Notamacropus eugenii: one gene and its partner. The main gene of each other region encodes a partner of the protein of the gene in region 2 in a complex. Links are inferred from orthologs where the notes say so. Each region holds a gene or a part of one and is shown on either strand. Other genes may lie near its edges.

Region 1 (6,995 bases), about 140 Mb from region 2:
CTGACACAGCCAAGGCAGTCATAACCCATTGATTGAGAGATCTTCCTGGACTACTCTGGCAGTAGCAGTCCAATATCAGGGTATCTTGTTGGCCATGTCCAGCGCTACCTGCCCAGCAGGAGAGTAGCCTTCCTGGCCCAGTCTAGCAATATCCCAGTGGCTGAGTAGTCTGTCTGGTCCATTCCAGTAACATCCAAGTCCAGTGAAGAGCCACTTCAGTAGCTGAGTGAACTGTTTGATCCAGCTTAGCAACATATTGACCCCTTTCCTATGAGGAGCAAGACCAATTGAGCTGTATATCTAACTGAGCTACCTTGCTTTTCGAAAAGCCAGTCCAGTTAACCCGCTAAGCAGGGAAGGAGCTTATCCATCACCAACTTAACACTCAGCAGTGACCTTCTTAAGAGCCCTTTATAGAAAGGAAATAGATCAAAACTTTACAAAGTTGTGAGTTGTCTTAGTCATGTGTTTCTTACATACATACCTCATTACCACTGCATTTTAAGTTTTCAGCCATTATTCTCTCCCCACCTTGTCATAGACTCTGTTTATATCTGTGGGAGAATAGGCCCCATGTTTCCCAGGGGAAATGTTTAGTAACTTCTGTTCTTGCTATACCGTTTGAGTAAATGCCTTTAATGAGAACTGAGTCTTATGGCTTATTAATGGGAAGCACTCTGGTGGGGGCTTGAGAGTTATGGTGTTACAGTTTAAGAATAGTCACCCAAAACACTACCCCTAGAACTATGACAAGAGTAGCAGCCACTCTTTGGGGATCTAAACTGCCAGTGCCTGTGTGGACTAGGGGAATGAACCTGGAAGGGGATATTATGTCATACATCCTCTTTAGAAAATATACCCAAAGCACTAAAAGTATTTCTCTGATGCTTTTAATATTTCCTGCATAGCAGTGCAGCAGTGCAGCAATGAAGCTGGTCATCTGTTATCCCTTGATTTTACTCTATAACCAGCCCTTTTCTGGTCACATATATCTTCAACTAAATTATTTTATATATCTCTCCTGTGCAAGACATAATTACTAATGTGCCAAGCTTCAGTTCACAATATTTAGATACTCAAAATGTGGCTGTGTTATTTATTCCTACCTCTTCTTTCTTTTGTGGCTTAACATAGCCTTGGAGAATTTCTGGCAAATGAAGATGTGGCATTTCTGGGCCTCAGTTTCCTTACCTGTGAAATGAGGAGTTGAACTAGCTCTAACTCTATGCTTTCATGCTCATTTGAAAGGAATGGGTTTTTTTTTAACATGGATATGGTAAAGAGATAAAATGCTCTTTACTTACCAGTTTAATAAGGACTATAGATACAGAAAGGTAGATTGCATCTCTATATAAGAAGTCATTTCCTAATTAGAGCTGTTTGAAAGTAGAATGGACTGCTGTGTGATGTAATGAACTCTGTTAATGAATGTGTTAAAGCAGGAGCAGAAGGACCTTCTGTTAGAAATGTTGTAGAGAGGAGTCACACCTTGAGTGGAAAGTTGAACTAAGTAAACTCTAAGGTCATTAGTATGCTGGTAGTATATCTAATCCAAGTCGATTGACAAACATTAATCATCTGCTATGCGCCAGGCACAGTGAGTACTGATCCAAGGAGAACAGGATAATTCCTGGCACAAAATAAGAGATTCTGTACGAGGAAGGAGGCAATTCGGATCAGATAACTTCTGACACGTATTCCAATTCTTAGATTCTATGATGCTATGTATTGAAAATATCTCATTCTAAGAATGTAATGAAAGGACCTTGAAGAAAACCCTTACAAATGCCTGGTTGGATAAGGTCACTGTGGCACACCTGGGAAATTCGTCCAATCTGTTAACCTGAGCAGGGTAGGCTAGATTAAGGGGAGCCCAGCCTGTGGATGTAAATGAGCTTAATTCCTAGACCAAGGAGATAGGCAACCTTTGGTAACAGGAACAGGAAACGGTAGGGTCACACCCCATTCCAGGGAAGGGAAGACTAGGTTGAGAACCTTAGAACCAGGCAGGTTTAGGTCAGGATGGAGAGTCATTTTCCTTCAGGCAACTGATGAAATGAAAATGATGAAGGAAAATTAAAAGGTAGTTTATCGGATGGACAAGAACTCAAGGCAAGAGTCAGCCAAGAGACTCTGGGAGTTCTCTAGTATGAATTGAACCAAGCCCTCTCAGAGTTCAAAAAAAACAATTTATTTCCTTGCATTTGTATTTTTTTTTAACAGTTTACAAATCACTTTCACATGCATTCTTCTCTGATCTTCATAACAACTTAGTAAGGTATTACAGTATCAGAGAATGTTTGAAGAGGACTTAGAATGTGCCTGCTCTTACTGTAAATTTTTATTCTTGTCCCCATTTTACAGATGAGGCAACTGTAGCTTCAAGAGATTCAGTGATTTACCCAAGATCCTATGGCCAAGAGCCAAGGACTCCAACTCGTCATTTGCTGTTTCTATTTGTATAGGGAGAGAAGTAGGGCAAAGATTTAGAAACAATTTTGTAACTAAGGAACAGATAAAGCTGTTTCATTCTAATTGCAGTAGATTCCCCTCCTCCCCCTTTGTTTCTTTTAATAAGCGCCTTTAAAAATCATCACTGTTTATGGGTGGTCTGTGTGTGGTCTCCCAAGGACACTGGAAAATGGAAAAGTCTGTAGGCATCGCACATTTAGGAGAGAAGAAAATGAGACAGCCCAGCTTCAGAAAAGGAGAAGGGTACCCTTCTCAGGACAAAAAGGGCAGTAGTTGTAAAAATTCTCACTGTGCTCCTGCTGAAGGTAGGAGGCCATGCAATTCTGGGTCAGAGAACCAGAAACAACTTTGCAATTAGAAGGAAGGGAGAGAAGATGGAGCTGATAGCAGCTGTTGGTGCAATTTACAGTTGTGCCACATGCCTGTCTGCATGGGGTCCTCACCAGCACTGGCTACCCAGTTTACTCTTTAACTCCCCTAGGAGATGGGTACCTAGCACAAGAATTATTTCCCCCATTTTGTAGAGGAGGAAACAAGCTTGGAGAGGTGATTGACTTGCATGGAATCAAGTGCTTTGAAAATCTCTACGCTCTCGATTCATAGAAAATTAGAATTGGAAAGTTACCTCCAGAGATCATCTGGACAACCTCTTGTCTGTAGAAATGTAAGAGTAGCCATTCCATAGAGCATGATAGGTGGCCAGGGCTCAGGCTTATGTGCTCCTTAGGACAGCTACTGTCACATAGGCAAGGAAACCGAGGCACAGAAAAGAGAAATGAATTACTTAATACAGTTTCCTGCCGGCAGCTCCATCATTGTGGGATGCCGCCTTCACCTCCTACTCATAAGGTCAGCCCCATTCCCAGCTGTCTGGGGCCCTGTCTTCTTCGTAGATGGGTTCCTGAAATAATATAATCCACTAAATAATTTCAGGATGCCCAGGTCAGCTCACTGACCCCACAGAGACCTGGCTTCTTTTGGTTGATAAGTCAACACAGACACCAGGCCCAGGAGGTGGACGGGGGTGATTAGACCCTTGCTAGAATCCCAACCCTAAAGTCCTGCCCCAAAGGTGGACTTTCCTTCCTCCAGACGTATTTCTAAATGACGAACTGCGGGTGACTTGGGGGCTGTAAATCCGCCAGTGTGCATGCCCGTGTCAGAGTGGGTCTATGTCTAGGTGGGTGTTGGTCTGGGGGCTGACCCCTGTGTGACTGTCTGCAAATGGACATGTGTGGATCAGTGCGAGCGTGCATCAAAATGGACTTGGGCAGGGGCTCCTGAAGATCGCGCGGTGCCCCATGCATTGGGAGGAACGAGATGGGGGGGCTCCCCTCCGCAGCTCACCGCTCCCTGCTCCGATCCCTAACTCGCCGCACGCTCCACGCTCTTTTCAGACGCTCCCTGCGCCTCCCCCGCTCCGGGGTTGCAGCGGCGCAGGCGCCCGGGCTGGCCGAGCCCGAGCCCAAGCACCAAGCCGGGGAGAGGGGCCGGGGCCAGAGCGCGGGGCTGGGAGTCCCGGGGCCAGAACCGGAGCAGCTCCGGGAGCAGGTGAGCCACCTGGGCGGCCCGGGCCCTGCAGCCCCCCTGCTTGGCAGCCCCCACTCCCAACTGGCGTCTCCCCTGCCTCCCCTCTCTGCCTGTCACCCTCCCTCCCCTCCCCCCGGCATTTCCCCCCGCCTTTCCCGACCTGGCATCTCCTCATCTCCCCCTTCCCTCCCGGACTGGCATCGCCTTCCCTTCTGGCATCACCCCCTCCCCTTCCTGCCTGCATCTACCCCTCCCCTCCCGGACTGGCATCTCCCTCCTGGCACAGCCCCTCCCCTCCTTGCCTGGCATCTTCTCATCTCCCTCTCTCCTCCCAGACTGGTATCTCCCTCCTGGCACATACGCACCCCTGGCATCTCCTCCTTCATTCTTCCACCCCTGTATCATTCTCCCCCAATTTGCATCCCCTTAGCCCCTCTTCATGGCATCCTTCTTGTCCTGAACGGGGCATCCTCTTCCTTTCTGACACACTCCACCCCCACTTGACATCTCTCTCCCCCCATTCTCCTCCTCCCCCTCAGTCTTGAAAAGGCTCCTTTCCCTATTGAAAATACCTCTCTTTTTCCTTTTACAGCTTGGGCACACTCCCAACATTCTCTTTCTCTGGTATACCTTATCTTTGACCCCTTAAGCCCTTTCCTATTTGCCCATTCTGTTCACTCCCCACCTAATATATCCCCCTCAACACCCTAGCTTCTTAACATCACCTAGCCTGTTCTTTCTGTCTGTCTGTCTGTCGGTCTCCCTGTCTCTCTCTGTCTCTCTCTGTCTCTCTCTCTGTCTCTGTCTGTCTGTCTCTCTCTCACACACATACACACAGACACAGACACACACACGAGCATACACATATATCCTACCCATCCACAGGTATTCTTCCCCTGATAACACCCCTCTGCTTGCCTTCCCTACCTGTCATGACTACTCCATGATCTAGAATGTCCATATAGACACACCTCTGGCACTGACTCCTATGCCTGACCCCCTCTATAGAGCATCCTCTCCTCTTACACTCAGCCATGAAGATTAGCCTAGGACCCCAGAAGCAAGCCTGTTAGACTATTGAGAATTTCACTTAAAAAATAGATAGATTCTTAGAATTTAGAAGCTAGAAAGTATCTTAGAAACCATTTAGTTCAACCCCTTCATGTTAGAGATAAGAGACTGAAGCCAGAATTACTTCTCTAACGTCACAAAGGTCTTAACAGTTAAAATCGTACCGCAGGTCCTCTTTTCACTACCCCATATTGTTTATTTTCCACCAGGGCAAGGCTAACTCCTTAAGACTGCGGCTTTTTTTGTCACCAGATGTGAATGTAAACCTGAGATGCAAAGTAGGGGAGGGAGGGTAAGGGCAAGAAGTAGCATTTAATCTGTCCAGGTGTGACTGGGAAGATTGTGGAGATCTGTCTCCAAAGAGCCAAGCTGGAAGCTATGACCAACTTTCACTGTGGTTATGTGGACAGTGAGCTTAACAGGGGACTTTCAAGACTGAGAAATTAGCGTCTTATAAACCTGGCTTCTTTCAGTAGGACTGTCCCCGGTACTGCCCTTCTCCTCTGCTCCATCACCACTAAGCTACCTGTACAGATTGAGGCTTAGATTTACAGATTCCCCCCTGACCTGGCCCCATCAATTTCCCCTGCACTGGTTCTGCCCCGCCCCCTCTTTGCACTGCTTCTTTCTCCATCCTTCCTGCACTGGCCCTGCCTCTGCCTCTTGCTCCCTCCCCCCCCTCCCCACCCCGCTCTATGTCTAAGTCCCTCCTGCACAGCAGCCTCTGTTCCCATCCTCCCTGCATTGGCTCCTTCCCTCCCTTCCACTTCCTTTGCTTCTGTTCTCCCTTTACTGGCTCTTCCCCCCTCCCCTCCTCCCCCTCTACACTGCCTCTGCCTTTGTCCACCTCTTGGACTGCCTCTGTCCCTAGTTCTGCACCTCCCCCCCAACCCTGTACTCCCTTTGGCCCTGCCTGTCTTCACCCTGTCCCTCACTGGCTCTGCCCCGGGCTTTCCTGCACTGGCCTGGCCTCTCTGTCTGACCCTGTCCTTTCTGTGCTGTCCCCTTTACCTTGATTGATTTACCTGACTCCATCCTCCCTGCACAGGCCCCGATTCTGCATCTCTCCCCCCTCCCCCCGTACCCTGTACTTAGGATGCCTCTTACCCCATTCCCCTTCATGTCCCTCCTGCAGACCTTGTCTGTCTCTCCCTGCCTCTGTACTTGCTCTGTCTCCTTGCTCTCTCCTCATTCGTCACCTTCCCCCACTGCCCCTGACTCTTCCTCTGCCTCAGTGTCTCCTGTTCTGGCTCTGCCTCCATCCCCCATGAATTGTCTCAGCTTCTGCCTCCGTCCCCCTTACAATGGCTCCATCTCCCTTTCAGTGCTTCTACCTCTGTCCTCTCCTTTCATGACCCTTCTCTTACCCGCTGTGGGGGCACAGCCTCCAAAATTCCGGTAGTATCTACCTCTTGGGGCTTTGGTGATGCTCTGCATGGATGTAGATTTGTATGAGATTAGTTATTATTAACATGATCATTGTTGTCATTATCATTCCAGTACTGCCTATCTTCAACAACGGAACCTTACATGCCTCTTAAGCATGTGAATGCCCCAGTGCCCAATTCAGCCCCTGTGTTTGTCCTGCCAAGACTTAAGCTAATATCAGTTTTGGAACCTTGTGCTTCTTGGATATTATTCCAACTTGTGACCTTTTATTGTGATGCCTACTCCCCCTCGGGCACCTCTGGCCTGCCTGCTGCCTTAGACTGACACCAGGAGTCATTACCCCTGTCTGCCAGCCCCATTCCCTGCTTCCTTTTCTTGCCGTCCTTTCTTCTCTCTGTGACCTGCTTCCTTCCCTCTCTCATATCCTACTTTTTACTCTTCTTCCCCCTGTCCATCTCCATTCATTGACCTTAGCTATGTTTCAGCCTACACTACAGAAAACAACTGTTGTTTGGCAAAAAGAGTACTGGATT
Region 2 (7,131 bases):
TGATATTCATGAGATACACCAGTTAGCAATTTGATAGAAAGCTACCCTATACCTAGGAGTAGAGAGACTGGTCATATTGTTTTGTGTACAGAATGGTTCCAGAGACTGGCAATGATCCTGCAAAGCAATCCACTGTAACCATTTATCACCAGTAGGTGAGTTATTTGGATTTTCTGAAAGGCAGACAAAAAGTGTTGGACATTCATTTCAGTGGATGATACACGGAAGAAATAACTTTCTAGTCATAAAGACTCAAAGATCCAGAAACTCATTTCAAGTAAAGAATATTCTACAAAATCCCATTCAAATGATAGAAAAGGTTTAAACTCAGAGGCAATAGCTTTCCTATCTAGCACTCTAACTGTAGAGACTGCTCTGGTTTCTACATGTCCTGACAGAATGTAGTAACCCAGGTAGCCAGGCTGGACCAGTTGAGATTTAGGAGAGCAGGACTATAGTCATGATGAGGATTTATGATTCAACCACGCAATCAATATAGCCCAAGGAAAGAAACAGATGTTGTTCTTCCTTCATTTTGAAGAGGATGTCTTGACTTGGATGTGAATTAAAATGAGGCAGAATTGTGCAAAGTCATCAGCCTCTCTCTTCCAGATTCATTAGAAATCCAGCGGCAGGACAGAAGTCAAGATGACTGGCAATGGTCTGGTTTGCTGTGGATGATGTTGGCATTCCACATCGCCTGCATCAGCTGTCTTCATGGTTGTTGGAACAAATTGTTCTCATTTGCCCATTCTACCAGGGGAAGTCTTCACATACTTGGGGTAGACATCTCCCTCACTCACTGACCAGTCTGAAGCCTGTCGGGTACCCTTGACCTGGTTTAGCCCATCTGCCAAGATGGTATTATGGGGCTCTGGCTGTTGCTCCTGCTACAGCTTTTTGGAACTACAAGTGAGAGTTGGGTGAATCAGATGGACACCGAAGGTAGATAAGCAGCCCTGAAAAGTCCTGAAAAGGTGTTAGTCTAGGGATAGGAGCAGTTAGTTCAGTAGAAGAGCTACAACTCTCTGACCAATGAGCATGCTAACTAAGATGTATCAGGTGAAAGATGTTAAATGGATACAACATATATAGCCAGGTGATGATAATGTTTATGCATATAATATGTACTTTGTATGTAATTTCATTCTAAATTCATTGATGCATATCATTTACAGCATGTATTACGTTATTTTTCTTGTGTTTATTTATTCATATATATCAGGCATTTATTGTAGTTGCATTTGCCTAACTATTCAGCTTTACTGTACGTTTAGTTATGTTTCTTTTTCTTCAAATCTTATTTGTAGACCCACCAATGTCATTTCTCCTTTGATTTTGGTATTTGAATATTGGCTTGTGTCCCATGGATACCCATGTATTGCTGTGATACTGCATATACTATGTTCTACGTGTAATTTAAACCTGTAGTCAATAAAGTAGCTTGTCAAGTGATGTTTTGCGTTTTTGAGCTACGTCTATCGGGTGTATCGTTGGTGTGTATTTGTTGTTAATAACTGGGATGCTACTTTCATCATCCTTTGCTCTCTCCAGTGCTGCTATTTTATCTGATGGTCGGCTGCTGTGTACATCCAGAGGCCATGTACCCCAGCTGATTCTTGAAAGGGACTGCAAAATTCTAAACCCTGGGAAGAATGCAGCCATTTCGTCAGTCTTCCGGGTAAAAAGTCTGAAATCCAACTGGAGTTCGAGAAAAAGAAAGCGGACCTCTTCAGTTCCGAGTCGGAAGATTTTACCGTCACAGTGGGGACGTTCCCCTGAACTCCCAAACTTAACTAACTGGAAGCCGAGGGACTTACGGGAGCCTGGATCCCCAAGTCGGAACACCGCCGGACTCACCAGGGCTCCGGGTCCGGCGGCCCTCCCGTCGCCCCCCAGGCAGCCCTCGGCTCCGGACCTCGTCTGCAGCTGAACCAAGTTCAGTTCCGAGCGACAGACACTGCCCAGCTCTTTAGCTCACCCCGGAACCCTGGAGACCAACTAGTAAAAATCGGGCTGGCATCCAGAGTTTCACAAAAAAGGGAAAAATAACAAAGATACTCTATGTACATATGTCAATCAGGTGCGGAACACACAAGTAACTGATTACTGCTGCGCACCAGACTCAAGATGCACGGACCGACCAGAACTCCGCGTAACTACAAACGTCAATTACCCGTCTGGTAAGTTTCCTTACGCCCCACCCCCCACCGCAGCTAACAAAGGTAACGTAGAGTAATTAACCCCACGTGGGCAGATTAGGAAACAGTCAGGCCTAACCGTCAACCGTCGGGACTTGAACCGAGGACCTGCCGGCTCCCAGACGCCGACGTTCCCTCGGCGCCACATCGGCTCCCGTCTCAGGCTTCCGTCTGTCTAGCTCCAGCCTTGTCCAAGGAATTTCCCTACCAGCACATCAGCCTCATGCTAGCACCCCACTTAAGACGTGCAGGCGCGCCCGGACTGGGGGTCACCCTTCAGCACCCCTCGCTCTCGTCTCTCTCACTACACTCCCAGAAGGCGATGGATGTCATCACAGCCATTCTATATCTTTGCTAAAAACGTCTCTGCCTCCCATTCAATCTAACCTCTAACTAATCACAGCCCTGCCGCCCCCTCCAAAAAACGAATAAAAACGAACAAGAGCAGGCGGACCCAGAAGTGAAAGGGCTAGCGGGACGGAGACTCGAGCAGTTCTCCCCCGGGCTGTGCCCTCTACACCCCGAAAATCCAGGTGCTGAGCCTTTTTTTCCCAACCGGAACCTACTCTGTATGAATTAGGTTGGAGCCTCCCTTTTCTTGGGCAAGGGAAAAAAAAATAAAAAAAAAAAAAAAAAGCAGCGGCCGTCACGAACAGGATTCGAACCTGTGCGGGGAAACCCCATTGGATTTCGAGTCCAACGCCTTAACCACTCGGCCACCGTGACTCCCGGGCTGAGCTTTTGCCGCGCGCTTATAGGAAGGGTCGCAGCAGCGTGGAAAAGGCTGCGGGCCGACAGACAAATTTCTCCCTCTAATTCTCGGTGCAGATGCCCCTTCACCCCCTCTCTCCGTGGCTCCTCACCGAAGTTTGGGAGAGAAGGCTCGGAATCCCCCCAGGAAAGGGCGGGGCCGGGATCAGCTCGGAGAGAGGGGGCAATGGTGTGCAGGGGCTGGAGCCCCCGAGGGGGCTTCCGGGAGAAGGGAGAATGGCTTTCTCTTCACGGGGGGCCCGACCCCTCCCACTCCTCTGTCACCTTCGACGATCTCCCCTGCCCCCCAAAGACCTCCCTCAATCACCGCCCCCGTCCCTTATTTCCGGGTCATTCTCTCCTCTCCCAGTCCCTCATTGACCCCTCTATCATCACCCCCCTTCCCTCACTGACACCCCCATTACTCCTCCAGCCTTTACTGATCCCCTCCGTCACTCCTTCCGTACTACACCGATCCCCCCAGTCACTCCCCTTGTCATCCCGCCTCAATCCGCTGTCATTCCTCCCGCCCTCCAGTGACCCCCGCTGTGACTCCCCCGCCCTTCACTGAACTGTCAGGCTCCCCTCCCCTGACAACCCCCCCATGAGTGCCCCCTCACTGACCCCCCCGGTCAGTCCCCCTCCCCACACTGACCCCCCACTACTCCCCCCTCCCCGCACTGACCCCCCCGTCAGTCCCCCTCCCCGCACTGACCCCCCCACTACTCCCCCCTCCCCGCACTGACCCCCCACTACTCCCCCCTCCCCGCACTGACCCCCCACTACTCCCCCCTCCCCGCACTGACCCCCCCACTACTCCCCCCTCCCCGCACTGACCCCCCCGTCAGTCCCCCTCCCCGCACTGACCCCCCACTACTCCCCCCTCCCCGCACTGACCCCCCCACTACTCCCCCCTCCCCGCACTGACCCCCCCATCGCTCCCCTCTCCCCTCACTGGCCCCCCCCCCCAGTCAGTCCTCCTCCCCTCACTGACCCCCCCCCGTCACTCCCCCTTCCCTCCCGCGGGCCTTCACCACTCTGGCCGGGCCCGGCAGGGGGCGCTGCGTTGGGCCCAGGCGGCTGCGGGCGGCGGGCGGAGGAGGAGGCGAGGCGAGGGAGCGGGGCGGGCGGTGGCGGCGACGGTGGCGGCGGCGGCGGCAGCTGGGGGGGGGAGCCAGGAGAAGATGGCGGTGCGGAAGAAGGATGGCGGCCCCAACGTGAAGTACTACGAGGCCGCAGACACCGTGACCCAGTTTGATAACGTGAGGCTGTGGCTCGGCAAGAACTACAAGAAGGTACGGGCCTGAGCACAGCGCGCCGGGCCGGGCCGGGCCGGGCCGGGGCCCCGGGCGCCACAAAGGGCGCCGCTTGGACCCCCCCCGCCGCTGCCGCCCCCTTCCGTGGGGTCCCCGCGATCCCCACATGCTGCGGGCCACCCTCGAGCAGTCGGGCCGGGCCCCGGCCGCCTCTGCCCGCTGTCCCCTCCCCCGCTGTCTTCCTCCTCCTGCCCCCTTCCCCACTGTGCCCTCTCCCGATACCCCGTCCCTTCCCTGCCCCGCCGCTCCCCAGGCCCCCCTCCCCCCCGCGACCTTTACCCCCTCCCCGCTGTCCCCCCCTTACTCCTCACGTTCTCCCCCCATGTGTTCTTCTATTTGTTTGATTGCCTCCCCTTCCCCCGGTCACCCCCCCATCCAATGTCCCTGGTTCCATGAGTCTCCCGTCACCACCATCCACTGAGATCACACATGCAAAGCGCTTTGCGAACCATGAAGCGCTATGAAAATAGTAGTAATACCATCATCTTCCTCTTTGTGGTTCATTTGAAAATTCTCAAGAAGGGCAGGAGCCAGCCAGGGAGAGGGAGGAGGAAGAAGCCGACTGGGTACTCCCCCGGGCCAGCCCCGGTGCCCAAGGGCTGGGGGTGGGGGCGGGAGTTGAGGCCTCCCCGAGGCTTTGTGTGTGTAGAGTATTGGGAGAAGGGAATGAGGAAAAGCAGCGGGGCAGACACCCACCGGGAAGGCCTCCCTCCTGCTCTTGGCCTGGGGAGGATCTCCGTGCTCTTACCTGTCTAGCCTGCCTCCATCCGAGGGGAGGCCAGAGGACAGGGGATGGTGGGTCTCAAACAGTGTCTCAGCATTTACAGTGAAGTCCCCACTTTGGGCCTCCCTTGACTTGAGGTCCCAGTGTGGAGCCCAGTCCCAACCTTTTTACCCAAGACTGGGGGGGTAAGGGAGTGAACAAAAGGTCTGTGGAACGTGATCCCCCCCTTCTACGGGCCTTTCCTGGTTATGTCCTTTGTCTGGAAGGCTGATAAAAGGGCAGCATCCACCTATGTTGTGTTCTCTCCCCATAATCAGATTCTCCGGGAAGAATCTGCTCCTTTTCACTCTTCCCCACTCTTTCTTACAAGGAGGAAGACAAGTTTTGTATCTTTTTTCCTTCTTGGTTTTCTGGCTTTCAGATTCTCCCTACCCATCCTTGTTTCCTGTTGGAGGTTGTAAGTGGTGGTACTGTTGGGAGAGCTCTGGTCTGTGAAGCCCCTTTCCTCAGGTTCCAGATACATTTGGATACAAGCTAACCTTGTTCTCTGGGGTCTCTCCAGGTGTCAGAATCCTGACAGTCAGCTGCTCCATCTGTTGCTTGTCTGTACTCAGCATGGGGCTCTGATTTCCAGGCAGTTACTAGCTCTGACCTTTGGGAGGGAGAATAAACTGGGGGCTTAGTAAGTGGATTCTGGGATGAATTGATTGCCCGTGATCTGGTGTGGCTTTTATACTCCTGGGCTTTTGTCATTTACTTTTCCCTCCTGTGACCTCTCCTTTCCCAGAAGCTATTTTCCCTGCCTCCCTCTGAGAGGGATGTTGTCCTCTGTGATTGGGGTGGAGGAAACTGGGGTCAAAGGGTTAAAAGAAATCCTAGAGGTTCAGTTTAACATGAATTCTTGGAGAGAAGTATTATATGGGGATGTCTGGAAAAAGTCCAGAATTGTTTTGAACAGCCTACAGCGATCAGGGTACCTGCCTTCTTACCAGGGCTTGTATCCAGCCTAGTTTATTCAGGGATAGTAGAGCTTTTTGCCTGCCATTTCTCTATTAGGCAGCATGTGAGTACGGTCTTCCTTATGTTATTATTATCTTCTAGAGGATCTATTATAAACCAAAGGCCCCTCCACAAATATCCTGTAGCAGTTCTATTTGGCCTGTCTTTCTTAATGACCAATTTGCCAAGATTTTCTTCTCTCCCTCTCCCCCAAAAATGTTCCCACAAGTTAGTGGACAACCTTATTCTGTTCAGTGAGTCCTGAAGAGCCTCCTTCTCTCCCATCACCTCCACATAGGCTGGATTCCATAAAGCCTGAGGCTTTTATGACCCAGAGTACTGTTGTGGCATCAAGATAAGAGGGTCCTGGCAGCTCACATTACAGAGTGAAGCTCAAGAAAGAGAAGGAAATTCTTCCCTCTTGGGCACTCAGTACTAAACTGCTTCAGTTATTTGCTGGCAGAAGAATTTTTACCTCCTGGAGCTCTTTCTGCTGCCCTTAGAACTAGGTGAAGGTGCCTCTTGTCTGCCTTCTTTTCACACATAGTTTCTAGCCGTTGTCTGAGGAGAGAGGCTTCTAGAATGTCTCCACTTGACCTTACTACCTTTCTAGGGGCCTTTCTCTCAAGCTTGGGGCTTGTGGGAGATATAATGGGAGTCTTCATTATTCCCTTTCTCCCTCTCCTCCTAGTACATCCAAGCTGAGCCACCCACCAACAAGTCCTTATCTAGCCTAGTGGTACAGTTGCTACAGTTCCAGGAGGAGGTATTTGGCAAACATGTGAGCAACGCACCACTTACCAAGCTTCCGGTGAGTCTACAGGGCCAAGGCAGGTGGGTATCCCAACAACCTGGGGAAGGACCTAGACTATTTAAGTACTGTATCTCTCCTTCCCCAGCCAACCTTAGAGTATTGCTGGCTTAGCCCAGTGAGGCTGTCTCCAGATATTACCAGATCTGTCACTTTACCCCCTAGGCTACTCTACCCCTGTCTAGGGATTTGTCAGAAGGATAAAATAGTTGAAGAAATGCCCTCAGCTTAGGAGCAGATATTATTGCTGTACTTTGCTTTCTGAAGTGAAATGATAAGGGGGGAGGGAGTAGGTCGCTTTTACCACTCCCTCTTCAGCTGCTGCTTCCA

The links. Proteins that work in one complex are often made in the same cells at the same time.
Region 1: SMARCC2 (region 2) and SMARCD3 share a complex: the UniProt entries of both Homo sapiens proteins name them as parts of the BAF complex. The link is inferred for Notamacropus eugenii from reciprocal best matches to the Homo sapiens genes SMARCC2 and SMARCD3.

What each region holds. Positions count from the first base shown.
Region 1 is NC_092874.1:94,747,149-94,754,143, forward strand, and holds the start of SMARCD3 (SWI/SNF-related matrix-associated actin-dependent regulator of chromatin subfamily D member 3), read left to right. Parts: upstream 1-3,924; 5' UTR 3,925-4,023; intron 4,024-6,995. UniProt on the Homo sapiens protein: Involved in transcriptional activation and repression of select genes by chromatin remodeling (alteration of DNA-nucleosome topology).
Region 2 is NC_092874.1:231,452,487-231,459,617, reverse strand, and holds the start of SMARCC2 (SWI/SNF complex subunit SMARCC2), read left to right. Parts: upstream 1-4,096; 5' UTR 4,097-4,135; coding exon 4,136-4,246; intron 4,247-6,681; coding exon 6,682-6,801; intron 6,802-7,131. UniProt on the Homo sapiens protein: Involved in transcriptional activation and repression of select genes by chromatin remodeling (alteration of DNA-nucleosome topology).